Linked DNA regions of Schizosaccharomyces pombe. The gene in region 2 interacts genetically with the main gene of each other region. Each region holds a gene or a part of one and is shown on either strand. Other genes may lie near its edges.

Region 1 (4,016 bases), 1.5 Mb from region 2:
TCGAGAACAGAGATTGGAGATGCTAAAAAAAGAGTAAGAAAAAGCTTTAAAATGATTTTAAGAATTTAACCGTTCAGATTCGCTAGAGTGGAAGCTGCAAAAGAAAAAGGACACATGCAGTTTCTTACTGTAGAAAATGAGCGCGAAGTTATGGATTTTACGCTGTATGTCAAAACATTAGCTTCGATTATTTTAAACTAATTATTTTTTAGTTCATCAAAAAAAGTTGTTATACATTTTTACCACCCTGATTTTATACGTTGCAAAATTATAGACTCTCATCTAGAGGTACGAGGAGTTCCATTTATTGCTTACGCTAACATTCTCAGAAAATTGCCAAAGTACATTGGGAAACTAAGTTTATCCGTATTGAAGCAGCCAACGCTCCATTTTTGGTAGTCAAATTGGGTCTCAAAGTATTACCAGCCGTACTTTGCTACGTAAATTCTCAGCTCGTGGATAAGATTATCGGATTTGCTGATTTAGGTAATAAAGATGATTTTGAAACTTCACTCCTAGAATTTCGGTTGCTCAAGAGTTCAGCAATCGACCGATTAAAAGAAGAGAGTTCTTCAAACAAGTCTATTTACCACGATGAACTACAAAATAATCAATCAGATGACAGTGATTTTTTTGAATAAAAGGATCTTGGGATTACAAAGTAAGAAATTTAGATCAATGTGATGTATAATATATATCCTTTTAAAAAAATTTAAAATCTATCATAAGCCTACTGATGAGTGTAGCTATCGTAAAATGTACAGAACAGAAATCACAATGGAGTCTAAAGCAGTAACTATTTTGAAGCGACTTGTTTAACTGAGTCCATAAGTAAGGGAACTACTTTCTTTCTGCTAGCAGCGGAATTTCTTTGATTCCACATACTGAGGTCGCCATTATCTTTCTCTTCAATAATTTCTAATCCTAAATTTTGTTTGCTAAGTTTTAAGAAAGAATCGGCAAGACCAGCTCCCCTTTCAGTACGCTTGTATAAAATCAATTGACGACCAAACTCGTCGTTCTTACTCAGAGATAACCCAACAATTACCAAATCAGAATTTTGCACTTCGGCAAAACTTTTCAATTCATCTTCCCATCCGAGACGTTTTTTCTTGATCCAATCTAATCCCTTTCCAACACTGGCATAATTGACGACTATTCCGTCCGGAAAATACTGTTTTAAATCCCTGCGTAGTAGATCATCAAAAGAAAAACCCTTACAGCTCTTCTTTTTCTCTTTCAGAGTATCAAAAAACTCATCTCGAACCCAATCTTTTGGCACAAATGAGCATAAGTCATTTACTATTTTAACATCGGTATCAGTAGTCTTTTCATTTTTTAAATTTCCAGTATCAATTAAAATAGGGCCAAGTGCCAAAACAGCAAGGTTGGTTGCTGTTTGGTGAAGTTCAGATACTTTGGAATCATATAGAGATCTAATGACAGGCATAAAATATCGGCAAACTAAAGTACAGCAGCTACCGCATTCCTCAATGATTCTTGGATCAGCATGTAAGGATCCCCCTTCATCTTTGTGGTGATCTATAATACCAGCGATACTGCCGTTGAAATTTTCTAGGTCTTTACGGTCCAAAGAATTGTGATCAACTAAATAAATAGGATTACTGAATATTCTTTTTGGTAATTTTACAATATCATCTAAAAAGACAATATCATCGGAAGATATTGATGCTAAGTTCAACAAATAAGACAGTTCAGGCCTAAGACGTAGCTCCTTTCGAGGAATGTTAAAAAAAGGTACTACAATCCTACCCAGCTGTTTTCTTTGCAGGCAATACGCATATACGATTGAACTAGCGCAACTGTCAAGATCTAAGACGAATTGTTAATTCTCGTCTATTACGACTAATGTACCTGCTGATTCATTTCCACTAACAAAGCTAAAAGACGGGGCAGACGATACAGTCGAAGCATTTAAGAGGAGATTTCGTATTTGCTCCCTTCCGTTTTCTAAAAATCTGCCTAATTTCATTGTACCAAAAGATTGAAAAGGTTACTTCAGGCTTTAGGTGCAAGCCAATATATCTAATCTATTACTACCAAAGTAACAAGTTACTCAATATAGCAAGGAATTTGACTGATACACTTAAATCAATTATGAGTATTTTCATAAGGAATTGAATAAAGGTGATAAAAACAATAATAAATGAGAGAAGATGAAAAGAAATTAAATCGGTCGAAAACATTACGCTCCCATGAGATTTCCGAATTAAATGAGTAATACTCTAAATCAAAACTGGCCGATTAGTAGTCATAAGTGAATTTGTATTCGTCATTGTGAATACTAGAACTATCGATAGAATGGAGAATTTTATAGAGAAGCTGCTTGGTTCATAACTTGCAACAAAATTTTTGGATTCTTAGAATTCATTCAGGTTAGTAAATTGTTAAACCAAAATGTAAAATTCCAAAGAATATGACGGTAACTCGAGCACAAAAGCAGATAACCAAAATACCTGTCAAGAAAAGAACTAAAATAGATTACAAAAAACGACGAAACAAATGTTTAAGCCGCTTCCTGCTGTTCCGGAGTACGTTCAAATTTTTCCAATAAAGTCCGGTCTCCTGCATATCCGCATTTAGATGCCATCATGTCATAAAAATAGGACAAATCAATACGAACGCCTGGCCATTTGGATGGATTTCTTGCAATATCCGTAAGTTCCAACTGCAGTCTATCTTCGAACATCCGAATTACATCTGGTATTACTTCTACACAGTCACGTTGTGAGTAGCGATGTAAAACTTTGTAGAGCTTTATAAGACTTTTTGAAAGATCAATAATGTATCCATGAGGACTGTCAATATCCCACGAAAGAGAAGCAATCTGGGAACAACTGATAGCAACTCGTTCCCTCATGAGACTAACAAACTTATCATGAATTTGTAAGTGATGAACGGTGAAATCTTGATCCAACTTATTAGTTTCATTGGTGAGTCGAGTTCCTGTTACTCTTGACAAGTACCTGCACATTGAATTAAGGGATAATTGAAACAATGCGATAGTTTGAGAGGCAAGTGCAATATGCTTCCCAAGTACTTTACTAAGGCCAGACGACCGCACTGTCCCCGCTCCCAATATTAATTGATAAACCCGAGAATTGAGTGTACGAAACATATCTAGCATACCAGTCTGAAACTCTGGAGCCAATCTTGAAAAGTGAGCAAGAAGTTTACCATAATCATCCAATGTTTCTAACAACGTAACAGAGGACCGAACAATATGTAATGATTGTTTTCCAAACGAAACCGTAGCAGTACAGTCCTCTGAAACTTTTACATGGTGAACCCTATGATTTTCATCTTCTTTTTCTGCTTCAGGAGATAATAGTCGCGTCCATTCTACGGGAGTATTACCGGAGCATTCAAACACGCGATTAGCTAGATCTTGACAGGATGGTTCAACAGGTATCGCTTCCCATAGCTCCCTTTCAAAGCTTGATGCCAATTTCTGAGTAGAATATCGTTGAAAATTTTTAAACCAGTCCAGTAATTGCCTCATTATAGTTGGAATAAATGAGCTTTGTGTGATTCCGCAAAGACTTTCAAGCTCATTATGAAAAATTATGTGTAAAGAAAAAAGGTATATAACATTATTAGGAGGATAAGTATCCAAGACTCGAAATCGAAGATTATTAATAGTTGTCACTTGTTGTGTAACAACATCGGAACTCGTGGCCATTAAATCATTAAGAATCACAGATAGGTGATATTGTTTAGTATCTTTTTTCGATAAAATATCTATTAAAACTTTTATTTGGCTGCGAATGCGACGCAGACATTCCAATGATGAAAAATATATATTCGTCAACATTTCTGCAAATTCCGTGATGCTCATGCTCTGAAAAGGATTCGCCGCTGATGAACTTCTTCTAGAGCTATCTGAAAGACTAGAAAGGCTGGCTGCACTCAAGCTGCGACGTAAATCAGAGGATTTACGAACACTGCGCATCTCTACACCATCGGTAAAATACTGTTGTGCTAAATTTTCAAAT
Region 2 (5,778 bases):
CAACACATTCGTTAATAGATTTCCTCAGAACATTCACCATCCTTCAGCTAATCTATTAGATGCAAGTGCGGCTTTGAATCCAGTACAAAATCCATTGCTTATGCCCCAACAAAACCATGAGCATTCTCCCCTGGTTCGTTCAGATGCAGCTTTGCATGACCATGGACCTTTACTTCCTGTTTATCCAGATGTAGATTCTCGTTTCGTTTAGTTTAGGTTAGTATTGCCGCTTGTTGCACTTTGCGGTTTTGACCATTTCCATGGTGTTGCTCTATTTATACTAGTACCTGTATCTTTAGTTGGTCCTTTCTGGCATTCCCTTTTGGTTTCTGCTTTATTATCATTTAGATGTTTTTTAATTTTTTTCTTCACCATTCGCCCTACCTGCCTAATGTGAGTTAAATTATATTGCCATTTGTGTCAGTATCTGGTATATGGACAGGCAAGCCCTTCTTTTTTAATAAAAGAACCTTTTGCGTTAGCTCTTATTTGAGCTAAGTTCATTTTTGATTCTTTTTTGCTCTTAATCGTTTTGTCTTTTTGCTTTGTATATAATTTTAGAAACTATTTTTAATCAAGGTCGACCGGTACTTTCGTATACGAGATCCTATGTACATAAAAGTTATATATTTAATAATAGTTATTTTTATTTTGCTTATACATTCGGTTTTTACTATTTACAAACTTTAACCAACCTTGAATAGTTATCATAGTAGTGGATTCAGTAAAGTATTATATTTAATAAGCTGTGGAAATGTTTCATTCAACAAATTATGAGTAACCGGACGTTTTTAGGTTTTTAAAAGCCTTAAAATAGAACGGATTTGGCCTGTTGAACTGACAAAGCATATCACACCATCTTGGTAAAATATATAATGTACAATATAGATCGTTCTTAGAGGGTATCAAAATAACGATTGTTAAAATGCTTTTAAAAAATGTGCTTAAATACAATCGGAAGAGCAGGAGAGAGCACTAAACGCCTTAAAATAGCTTTTACCAATTGGTGTAACCAAAGGTTTCGTTTGGCCCAAGTGACCTATATGGCACACTTTTCCAATCATAAGTTTTAGTGTACACAGTGTTTCCCCACCAGGTTATCTTACCTCCAGGGTATGATACACATAAGAAAATTACTACTCCAGCGACTGCAACCCCAGAATCCATAGCTGCAGCCAGTACGTAGTTGTACTTCCTCCACCAGTGTATCGCGCGCTTTCTAATCACATAATTAAATATAAACCCAACAATTGCCCAAGAAGAATAGTTAATTCCAGTAGCGGGAGGAATATTGCCAGGACCAGTGAAAAGGACCGGAGCATTAAGCTTTCCAATCCACGACTTAGGAAACCTTTTTCTCAAACCCCATGTTATAAAAGGAGCAACTGCACCTATCAAAAAGAAAAAAATCAATGGGTAATATGGTTTTCCTTTTGAAAACATTTTAGCGGGCCCAATTGCACCCCAAATTAAGGAGGCATTATAGATGGAACGACCGTTGGGACAAGTAAAGCCATTTGATTGTGAAGTTGTACAAATACCTGGAATGTGATAATTCATCCATTCCTGTACAGCAACCTGGGTAATTCCACCGAGGATTGTAGCAAAAAGCTGAACAAAAAATAATATACGTGGAGGTATTTTCATATATTGAGCGAGTTTAAGATCACGAGAAAACTCTAGCCCTTGCCGCATAGGAATGAACCCATACAGTTTAATCATCAAATTAGCTAAAGGTTTCCCAGGTAAAATATAACCGCCAATTAGCTCAGTGATAATATTGAGACCGACATGCTGATTTGTAATGCCTTCAAGAACACCTTGAGGAATGAAATTTACAATAAAAATCAACAAGGCAACAATGAGAGCCCACACAGGACATTGCGTATCATAGTAACGAACTGTGAAAATGGTTAAGCCAAAGACTACGATGAACAATGTGGCATACCACCACTGAGGTGCTTCCTTATAATTGCGCATCAGCTTCCGATGAATGCATTCATCTTTACCAGACTCTTTCCATAAGCGTTGCCATATATCTTTTCCATTGTATAAAGCGCAATGTGTGAAAATAGCTGTCACAGCAGCAAAATTCAAAGCAGTTGACATGCTATAGGACATAGGCATATATAAGGGTGAATATGATTCATATTTTGTATGATTAAATGAGTAATCACTATTAAGAACACGTGAAGAGTTGTAGCTTACACCGGTGTGATCAAATGTTGAAGATGAAAGCATGGGTAAATAATTAGAGAACCAAACACCTTTATAGTACAAGATAGGAACGACAATCCAAAAAATTAAAACCACCGATCCAAAAGTATTGCAAATTACCCACCAGGGAGAAGCCAATGGATTGCTGTTGTAAACGACTTGCTGCCAGTCGAATGTAAGGGGAAGAATGCCAAGACCGGAGTTGTATCCAAATAACTGATTTACAACACGATTCTTTGGCCATATCCAGCAAAGAACGGTAAAATAAGAAAGACCTTTAAATATGAACCCAGGAAACCAGTAAAAAACAAATGATCCAATCATTACATATGCAAAAAAGCGATATCTGGAAATGGTCCAGCCATTAGCAGATATCCTGTTATTTTTTAATACCCCAATGTCATTTCCACTATTACCGTGAAGTGTTCTAAACAGAACAGTGCTTACTAAAGTTTGAGGCCAGATCATAGCAGCTGGATACACAATCCAGCGTCTAGTGAGACCGGCAAATCCATAACCCAGCATTTGCGAGGTAAGCACAATAAGTATTTTATAACCCCACGAGAGGTTTTGTTTATAGAAGCTAGTTTGGGCGGACAGGATATTCGTGGCATAAGCGGTAGATGATGTTAGGGAAACAGCGATTGTAATGGCTGCATGTTCTTTAACGTTAAAGGGGGAAGAATTAAGATAAAAAGAGAATCGACCATAACCAATCTTCCAATTTGGTAACAAGTTCAATAGTTTTCCTAGAGGAAATAAAATTAATTGAGCGACAATGAAACTGATGCTCAAAGCCGGATAACGTAGACTAAAAAATTGATTCACAGCAGCGAAAACTATTACAAATATGGTGGTAAGCACCCAAGTTCTCCAAGTGTTCACAGGCAAATTAACGTCGTCAGTAGGATTTACGGCAGCACGAACTTCTGGGTAAACAGAATCTTCAATGGCTTCTAATTCACGTTCCAACTCTTCTACTTCTGACTCGACTTCAGAGTCGGTTTCATTGTCAAGTTGAACCGCTGAGACATGCACGCCATCCTTCTTCGATTTACTAGGACTTTCACTTATGCTGTAGTCATTTGGACTGAATGAAGATGAATTGGTCCGAAAAGGACGATTAGGGTGATGTTGAATGTTAATATTATGGTGGTTTCCACTATAACTGCTCGTCGACTCGTCAGAAGAAGACTGTCGAAAAGTCAGCGAAGTCTTAGAGGCCGTCTTTGTAGATAAATTCCCAACTCCAGCTGGTGTCTCATCTCCAGAGACTTCATTTTCAGATGTTTTCCTAATACTGGTAGGAATACTAGCAGAATTGCGAGCTGTCATTGTATTTACCTATAAAAGCCTGTCAAATCAGGAGCAAATAATTCAACAAATGGCAAGATATATAATCTATTTAGGTTAAAAAATAATGCAGGCACTAACAAATGAAAACTCCTTTATCTCTGCCTTTGTATGAAATTTTCGTCTATGGCAATTTCCATCGAACTTTTTCAGAATTTCGACAAGCGTTGCTTTTCAACCGAAATTGAGGTTATTGATAAAATCAGCAAAAACTTGATCCACAAAGAAATATAAAGGCCGTTCAATTGCTTTCTCGCACGCCAAGATTATTTCAATTGTTACAAGTGAGATTCACTGAAATCTCAATTAATTTTTGCACTTTTCTTAAAAACCAAGTGAAGGGTAAAGGAGAGTTTAACTTTGCACACAAATTTATATATTTATATATATGTATGAATGAAAAAGATTTTTAATACCAGGGCATGATTGCCGAATGGTAAGCTGATCTTATACCATCGATAAGCATGTCAATAATTGCGACACCATCACGACATTGTGTCCCTTCGCTCTTTATCGAAGAAAGAGCAGCTTTAAGATAGTTAACGAGGTTACAAAAAATCTCCGTGTTACTTAATAAGATTCCTTTAGCGAGTCTTTAGATATATAGCGACTTTGTGTGTGATAAATGTATGAGGATTTACAATAAATCCAGTTGTTTTTCAAGTTGGTTTATTCATTTTTACTTCCTACTACAGTACTAATAGTGTTATTTTGAAGTTCTTTTAATTTTACTTTTTTTGTAGCCAAAAGACTTCATTTCCATATTTCTCTTTTTTTCCTTTTTTTTTTTTTAATTTGCGCAATTCCCATGCAAAGTATACTATGACAACAAGCAAAAAATTTCAAATGTGTAGCATGACTTAATAAATAGTCCTTTTATTAGAAATATTTTGTTGCATAATAGACAATTTATTTTGACTGTTGATTAACGATACTAAGATTCTTTAATGTTGCATTGTGTTAGTTTTACTATCAATTTGCCTAGTGAAAATAAAAAAAAAACCAAAATCCAGTTAGGTACTTTTTTCATTTCATAGATATAACAAAAAAAAGGGACTATTTTAAGGTAATAATAAAATCTGTACAAATATTAATTTATACTACCTATAGAAGTAACCTTTAGTAGCTTCGTAGAAATATCTTATTGTTTGCATTATAATTCGCAAATGATTAAATTTAGACATTGCAATAATTTTTTTCCTTCTCAGTTATTCGGAAAAACAAAGCAGCATCAGAACCATTTTTACTACTTTGTGTAAATTCAAATTAACCTGTAAATTCTTATACAGTAAACCTTTTATTCCCTCTATAACACAAATAAACCGAATCTTTTACTTTAATATAAGTTTTCTGGTTTTTGTGTTATTTAATAAAAGTAAAGATTATTCATCGGTGATCACTGGAAACGATCTACTAAAATAAATAAACAAATTTCATTTTAAATAATTTCATCATCAAATTTATGGATCTCATACCGACAAATATTAAATAATGTTTGAAGAGGTACTTGACCTCGTTTTTATTAAGGGTTTCGTATTTTTGCCTCAGCAAAATTGTAAATATAACCATGTCAGCAAAAGATCAACAGTTTAAAGCAAGGACGGAAGACTGTGTTAGATTTGTCTCGGGAAACTATAAACCAACAAACATAAGGGAAATCTAGCCTGAAACGAGTTCGAAAATAGTTCCCATTTTTTTAATTGTTAAACATAGATGCTCTATTGCGCAAGATACAAGGGTGAAAATAACAAAAAAAAGCCATTAACGCGTCCAATGTATAACTTGCAATTTTATATAGTAGAGAGCAATAATAGGTATTTGCAAGAGGGTTAATGAGAAAGGGAAACCATTACAACGAAATATCACTTTGACATTTCTGCATTAAAAGCCTTAAAAGTCAAGCAAAGTAAAGTTTTTGAATATATGATAATTACAGCACATCAATGGATAATGAATATATAAATTTGTGGACATCAAGGAAAATCATGCGTAAACATGGTACATGTAATCGAAAACATGTTTCGATCATAAATGTAGACCAGTGAGTACAAACCCCAACAAAGGAATAGATGAATTGGTTTATGAGGGTTAAAAATCATCAGTAATCAGTAATTGACGCGGGGAGTTATGCACACTAAGTCTGAAAAAAAAAAGAGAAAACAAAAAGTCAAAGTCGCGGAAAAAAGGGGTATGCAAAGGATTAAATAA
Region 3 (6,661 bases), 3.1 Mb from region 2:
AAGAATATATAGCAAACGAAATTGGGAGATGTATAAAGAATCAGTATAGCAAGGAAACGTATACCCCGTATATAATAGTCCCTTGTAAACTTATGCTTGTCCTGTCTTTATAATTTTTTTCTTTTTCTGGTTCTTTACCTCACGAACCTTTTTTTGTATTTAGTGTCTATAAGGAATATTTATATGAAACTAGTGTTTTGAGAAAGTCTAAAGCTATGAAATAGAGGTCTGTTAAAAAAAAAACTAATTTTCTTTTTTCAGTTCGCCAGTAAGCCAAAATAAAAAGTTCACGTAATATTACAGCCTCAAATTAAAAATTTCATAAAATGAATTGACTTTATATAGTATTTTTGTAAAAATTTATGTAGTGAAAATAATCAAATGGTTAGAGTGTATACGATACATGTGTGAGAACATCTATATTTGGGAGCATATATAAATAAACTTCTATCTAATATCATTATATCGTTAATGCGTAAAGTAGAGAACTGTTACGAGTTACACTAATTCGTAAAATTATATAGAAGACATATATATGAACATAATAACATTTATGACTCTAAATCTTTTAAATATAATTGCAGCCAATTTGCATCTTTTAAGTAAAATAAATTAGATAATTATTAGTGTTTTATAGAATATGTACCTAATAAAAAAAACTCCGACACTTAAGGACTGTATAAAGAAGTGAAACCTCAATCAGATAATGAAGGGAAATTCAAAATAAATCTAATTCCCATCCATAGGTGGGTTATGCGTATAATACATCGGACTGTACGATTGAGGCATAGCCATTTCTGGAGAATAAATGGGATAGTACGACTGAGGAATTGATGTGGGAACGGCACCAGGAGGAAGGGTAGCCATTGACTGGTGAAATGTTGAAAACTGATCCATGGGTGCAGGGATTGGCATCATTGCATTACGAGGTGGTGAAAATGGCGCTGGAAACATCGGATATGGATAGGAGGGATATTGATATTGAGGGGAAAATTGCTGCATTGGTCTTAGTTGACGAAATTCAACACGCAAAGGCTTTTTCTGGTGTGGGGACCTCGTCTTACCGCAGACGGCAGCATAAGCGGCTTGTTGAGAATCAAACCTTAGAAAAGCAAAAGCAGGCTTCTTGCTTTGATGAATTATTTTACAATCGATTACCTTTCCATATTTGGAAAATAGATCAACTAGTAAGTAGTGTGTGCAATTTACTGGGTCGAGTTGGCCAACGAATATAGAATAAGGATCAATCGGTGGAGGCATTGCAGCAAACATCATAGAGGGGTTCATGGGATATCCAGGCTGTTCAAAAGAACCATCTGTTGGGAGTTCGGCCTTGCCGCTTTCTAAAGAGGGTATTGAAGGTAATATACTCGGTAAGGAGCTTAAAGATTCATTAGGAGTACTGAATTCAGTAGAATTGACCAATGAGTGAGCAAAGTATGAGGGACTTTGAACCGCGGAATTTGATCTTCCCATGGTAGAAGGAGGATCGGAAGAAACTGAGAATGGAATAGGGGCAGGTGCTTTGATAACAGGAGTGTTCGACTGATCTTTGCCTTGCGACTTTCGCCTTCGACTATGTGCGTTAGGTGGAGAAAACGGGGAGGAACCTTTCTTCTTATAGTGACCGTTTTGATATGTCACATTTTCCGCCCAAAGTACAGGCCAGGCAGAATGCTTAAGCGCGGTATAGGCTGCGATTGCTTCATCCCTGTAAACAAACCGTACTAAGAAAGCGGATTGATCTGGTATTTCCGTGACATCTTCAACCTCGCCATAAGGTTCCAATAAGTTATCTATGTCTTTTTTTGTAATGTAAGGTTGATGGGGTGCAGAGGATATACGGATTGTCCTATTAACTTTGGCGCGCTCTATACGTATATGACGGCCATCCAATATCGTGTTTTGGGCTTCAGAAAGTGCTTTCGATGCATCATCAGTATTTTGAAATTGAACAAAAGAATAAGGCCTTTGCAACCAATCTTTCAAAACTTTGACATGCAACAAAGGACCCCACTGTTGAAAGTAATCTTTAACAGTGGCAGTCAGCTCTTCCTCAGACCTTGAAGAGTTTAAGCTAGCAACAAATAAACAGGCAACTGGTTTTCCACGGACAGACGACGGATTTAATACTCCACTGGAAGAGGAACTTGGGATAGGGGTGCTTGATGATGCAGTTTCCAAAGGAGGCTTTATAAAGGTAGTGGAATTATCATTTTCGGATAAAGAACCTGGGGGAATGTCTTGTAAAAGCGTTGTTTTTTCGAGTTGGGCTGATAATTTTTCGACAGGAGAATGCAATAAAGATACAGACGGAGAGGAAACAACCATTTTTAAATAATGTGTTTAAAAAAAAAGTTTGGAATGAGAAAGGATCTATAAAGGGGCATGAAACAAGGATGCCGGATTGATATCAAATTAAAAAGACAAAACTTTATACGAGATGCCTGCGCCAAAGTGGGATGGAGGTCGTATCAGTCGATTATATGGAATACAATAGATAGTTATGAGATGATGTGTCAACAGCAATCCAAAAGCTGCGTAGAAAAAAGAATGAAAAGTATTTCAACTGAAAAAGTTAAAAGTTAATTAATTTAAAATTTCCTTCAAAACAAAGTTTAAAAAAAACCCCAGAGAAAAAATTTGGTCAAAAGAAAAGATAAATAAAATTGATCAAAGAAGGGATAGGAAAAAACGAATGGGAAAACTTTTACTCAGGTAATAAAATTGCAGAAATAGGGAAAGAAAAAAACGCAAGCGTATGGTAATTTAGTGCAAAAATGCAAAGATAAAATAGAGATTATACACGTATAAATAAGAAAGAAATGGAATGGCTCTTAAAAATGACGAGTCAAAAGAAAGAAAGAAAGAAAGGATGAAGATTTTGAGAAACCAGCTGAAACAGAAATGGAAAATGAAAAACCAAAACCAGAGATAGACAGTAGGTAAACCAAACGAGACTTTGCAGTCTAACAATAGTCTAAGGAAAGCCCAAAGAATAAATATATATTTGAGTGGGGGAAACGAGTATTTCCAGAATAAGAGTCAGATGATGAGAAAAGTAAAATGGGGAATAGAAATAGCTTGCACGGTGATCAGACCGTGAAAGAAATTTCACAAAGATGAAATTTCAGTTTTTGGGTGATGGATAGAGAGAACTCTTCTCAAGTGGAAGCTAAAAAATAATTGGATAAGCTTGAGGGAGTAGCAAGTTCGAATTGAAAAAGGTGAAAGAATCAAAGAGCAGTACAATTGCAGTTGAATATCTCGAAAAGCTGAACACAGAGAAAGTTTGAGGTGAAAAAGAAAACAAATAAAAATAAAGAAGCCAGTAAACGCAACAAAAGGTGCAAGAGGAGAGCGAAGGAAAGCTCAATGGCACAGACAGAATCAGATGAGAAGAGAAGGTAAACGCAGTCTCACTAGTATTTCAAGCAATGTGGAGGTATTCGATAGATAACAAAAGAAAAGGAAAAAAAGAAAAAATGGGTGATCAGAAATGCAACAAAACTGATAAAGACAGGATGGAAGACGGGGAGACGTCTCAGCAAAAAGGAAGCAACCCACACAAAGAGAAATTGAATTTAGTATGTTAATGGAGAAAGGAGAGAATCGAAAACCCTCGAATAGCAATTGATTTAGGTGAAAGCAAAGAAGGGGGTTATTCACGACGAAGGTTTAGATCTGCTCGGAATATACGAGGAAAAGACATTGTATATCAAGACTACTTGCAAACTCGGGGATTTCAACACGTGTTCTTCATCGGTAATGTAGGCGGCATAAAAGAGGACAAGGGACATTAGGGAGCAAAACCAGACGATATGATTAACTAAAGGAGCAATACATCCGAATCCTGCTTACACTCTAATAATTAGTCAAACGACCAAGACGCTGCCTCAAATCCTCAATCTTTTAGTAATTTTACCGTTCTATTTGGGCCATATCATTTTACTAAATTCTAGCCATTCTCCTTTACCACGATTGATAGGCAATTGTCCATTCGGAAGTATATCACTACTGCCAACATTTCCCTCTCCACAATGTCTTAGATAGTGGGTTACAGGGAGTATAAGGAACAAGCTAGTATTGACAAATGATGAGACATTGAGAATTGGGCACAGGGTAATGGGCTAAAAATTGGGTGCTGCACCGAAGCATCCTTTGGTTGTGAAGATAAGCAACTACAAATTTTAGGAGTAAGTTAACAACGGCCCCATGGAGATAGAAAAAGGAAGAATGCTAAAAGTCGTGAACAAAGGCGTAATCGTCAAAGAAAGGTAAATTGCAAGCACAATGAAAAAGATGATTTTTTACAATAGGATCCAATAAAGCGAAAAAAAAAACAAATAAATAACTAAAGAAAAATAAATTGAATTTTGATTAGTATACAAAAAAAAAATTAAGCACAATCTAGATGAGCAACAAAGAAAAAAAGGGAGACCTTTAAAAGAACAAGGTGAATATGTTATATTACTGTCTGGATTAATGACTGACAAAGACAGAATACGCAAGCTATAGCCAAGCTAAGAAACGAAAAAAAAAAGAAAAGAAAAAAACAAAACAAAACAAAGGTAGTTAGTTTGTCAAGCTATGAATAAACTATTTTCGTCGTATTTTCTTGAGCGTTCTATAGACTGTTTATTCAACAAAGCAAAGCAATAGTATAATACTAGTAGTAAAAGGAGTAACAATAGGAAAAGCCAGCTTAGCGTGTACCGAGGTTTTCTCAAAAAAAAAAAAAAAAAAAAAAAAAGGAATCGCTTGCTGAGATATCGAACTCTACCCCTTGAATCTAACATTCACATGACCTTTTGTTTCTTTGTTTGTCCCCATTTCTAGATGTGTTTTTACCTTGGAATAAAGTCTCGGTATTCTAACTCCGATTGCCTATCTCTAACACTTTGTAGTGGGATGTGCAGGGAGCAAGCTAAATGCACGCACTCTGATGGAGTGAGTTCTGGATAAGTGACAGCTGAGTATAACGATAAACATCGTCGTACAGTTTAGCTTCCCTTTGAAACAAAAATTTTAAGTATGTGTAATGGTGCTTATTTATCGAGGAAAAGGGTGAATCTATAATAAAGAATGGATCGTTGGAATGTAGAAAGTAGTCGATACTTGAAAGTGAAAACAGATGTTGAAAAAATTAGTCGATGTTTAAATGTTTAAAAATAATAATAATAATACTAATACTAATTTTAATTCTTGTATTTTGCTAGTTAAACTAGAAAACTGCCAACGAAATACAAGCATACATACATATCTATATCTATATCTATATATAGATATAGCTATGTTCCTTTCCAGACACCAGTAGACTCGGTCTATATCGCCAGCATTTCTTAGACTAGGATTAGAATGGGATAAAAATATGAAAAAGGGAATGCTGAGGAAGGATGAATAAGAGTCGTTATATGTTTTTCTTTACTGTTTACTTTTTCTTTTTTTCTTCTTCTTTTCTAGCTCGCCTTTGGCCCAAATTAAGCTCATTAACCTGATGCTGTCAGATATGACTTGACACTCTCTGTGATACTACATATGCAGACAATTTCTGGACGAAACATTAAATTTTCCGATCTTCAATCAACGTTCCGAAATGGTCTACAGAAAGAGTAACAACAAATTGTATGTAGCGTTGGATATGAAAATGCACTGCGTGGCATAGCATACAATACTCTTACAAATGCGCTTGGCAAAGACGATTCAATTTAAGATTGCTGTTATGCTTACAGTATAAACCAAAGCAGCAAGAATGGAATCCCCGTCCCGTAAATTTTTTTTTCTTGGTAATACGTTAAAAGTATAACTTGGCAGACATGTCGAAACCGATCATTTGTAAATCAGCTTCTCTTAACTATCTCTAGTGGATGCAATAGTATGTTAAACTAACAAACACGAGTACATTTGAAAGACTCATAAACCAAATTCGATGATGATCCTTTTGTTGATAAACCGTTTTATGGTGGATCTTTGGCGTATCCTATCCCTTACTCTTCTTTCAGATATGAAACAAAGTAAATAATAGCCGAGGCAACCATCTATAAATCATCATTGTTTAGCTGCTTCCCCCCCCTAACATGGGACGTAAGACAATGAAAGTTTAATTTGCTTTTAATTTTCGTTTTGAAAAAAGTTTGTTAGATATGGTTCGCTTCCAACCTTCCTACTTTAATAAACAAGTCGGAACTCCAGCTAGCATAAAATCTGTGGGAGAACTCTCAAAATGCTTTGAAGAGTGACTGTATCGATTGATTGATTGATTGATGGGGTGAACTAGGTAGCTGTATGAACTGAACCATCCCTACTATTAAGAGGTATGAAAACGTACGCATGTTAAGAGAAGCTCTAACTACATTACCATACTGTTATGTACTACTCTTCTCCAAGCCAGATCATAGAACTTTCTAAAGAGCATAGATTTCATTTAATTTATTTATCAAGCTTTCTAACTACGTTCTTCGTGAACTTTTTTATTACTGGGCCATTTTAAAAAAAAAGAACTTCATTACTAAACCAAACAAAAAAAATACCATATATGATTTATTTCTTCTCGTTCTTATACTATGTCTTATACCAGGGAAACCAGTTATTATTTACTGCTTAACAAATGCTATTAGGGTTCAACGTTCTCGTTAGTAGAAACATGAAAAAAAAAATTTCG

What was found. A genetic interaction does not mean that the proteins touch.
Region 1: mutations in pgt1 (region 2) and ppx1 together harm fitness more than expected from each alone (negative genetic interaction), as found in Schizosaccharomyces pombe (one large-scale study listed by BioGRID).
Region 3: mutations in pgt1 (region 2) and msa1 together harm fitness more than expected from each alone (negative genetic interaction), as found in Schizosaccharomyces pombe (one large-scale study listed by BioGRID).

Annotation. Positions count from the first base shown.
Region 1 is NC_003424.3:3,944,555-3,948,570, reverse strand, and holds ppx1 (exopolyphosphatase), read right to left. Parts: upstream 2,017-4,016; 5' UTR 1,994-2,016; coding exon 1,876-1,993; exon of another isoform or gene 1,834-1,875; coding exon 797-1,833; 3' UTR 642-796; downstream 1-641. Other genes in the region: plp1 (thioredoxin domain-containing protein), read left to right, coding at 1-33, 78-164, 213-288, 330-641; GARP complex subunit Vps54, read right to left, coding at 2,528-4,016.
Region 2 is NC_003424.3:5,430,862-5,436,639, forward strand, and holds pgt1 (plasma membrane glutathione transmembrane transporter Pgt1), read right to left. Parts: upstream 3,927-5,778; 5' UTR 3,553-3,926; coding exon 997-3,552; 3' UTR 714-996; downstream 1-713. Other genes in the region: silencing factor Clr5, read left to right, coding at 1-211. UniProt on the Schizosaccharomyces pombe protein: High-affinity glutathione transporter which plays a role in scavenging glutathione from the extracellular environment for the maintenance of sulfur homeostasis.
Region 3 is NC_003424.3:2,317,909-2,324,569, forward strand, and holds msa1 (RNA-binding protein Msa1), read right to left. Parts: upstream 4,918-6,661; 5' UTR 2,332-4,917; coding exon 730-2,331; 3' UTR 584-729; downstream 1-583. UniProt on the Schizosaccharomyces pombe protein: Negative regulator of sexual differentiation. Acts by repressing the transcription of meiosis-inducing, ste11-regulated genes.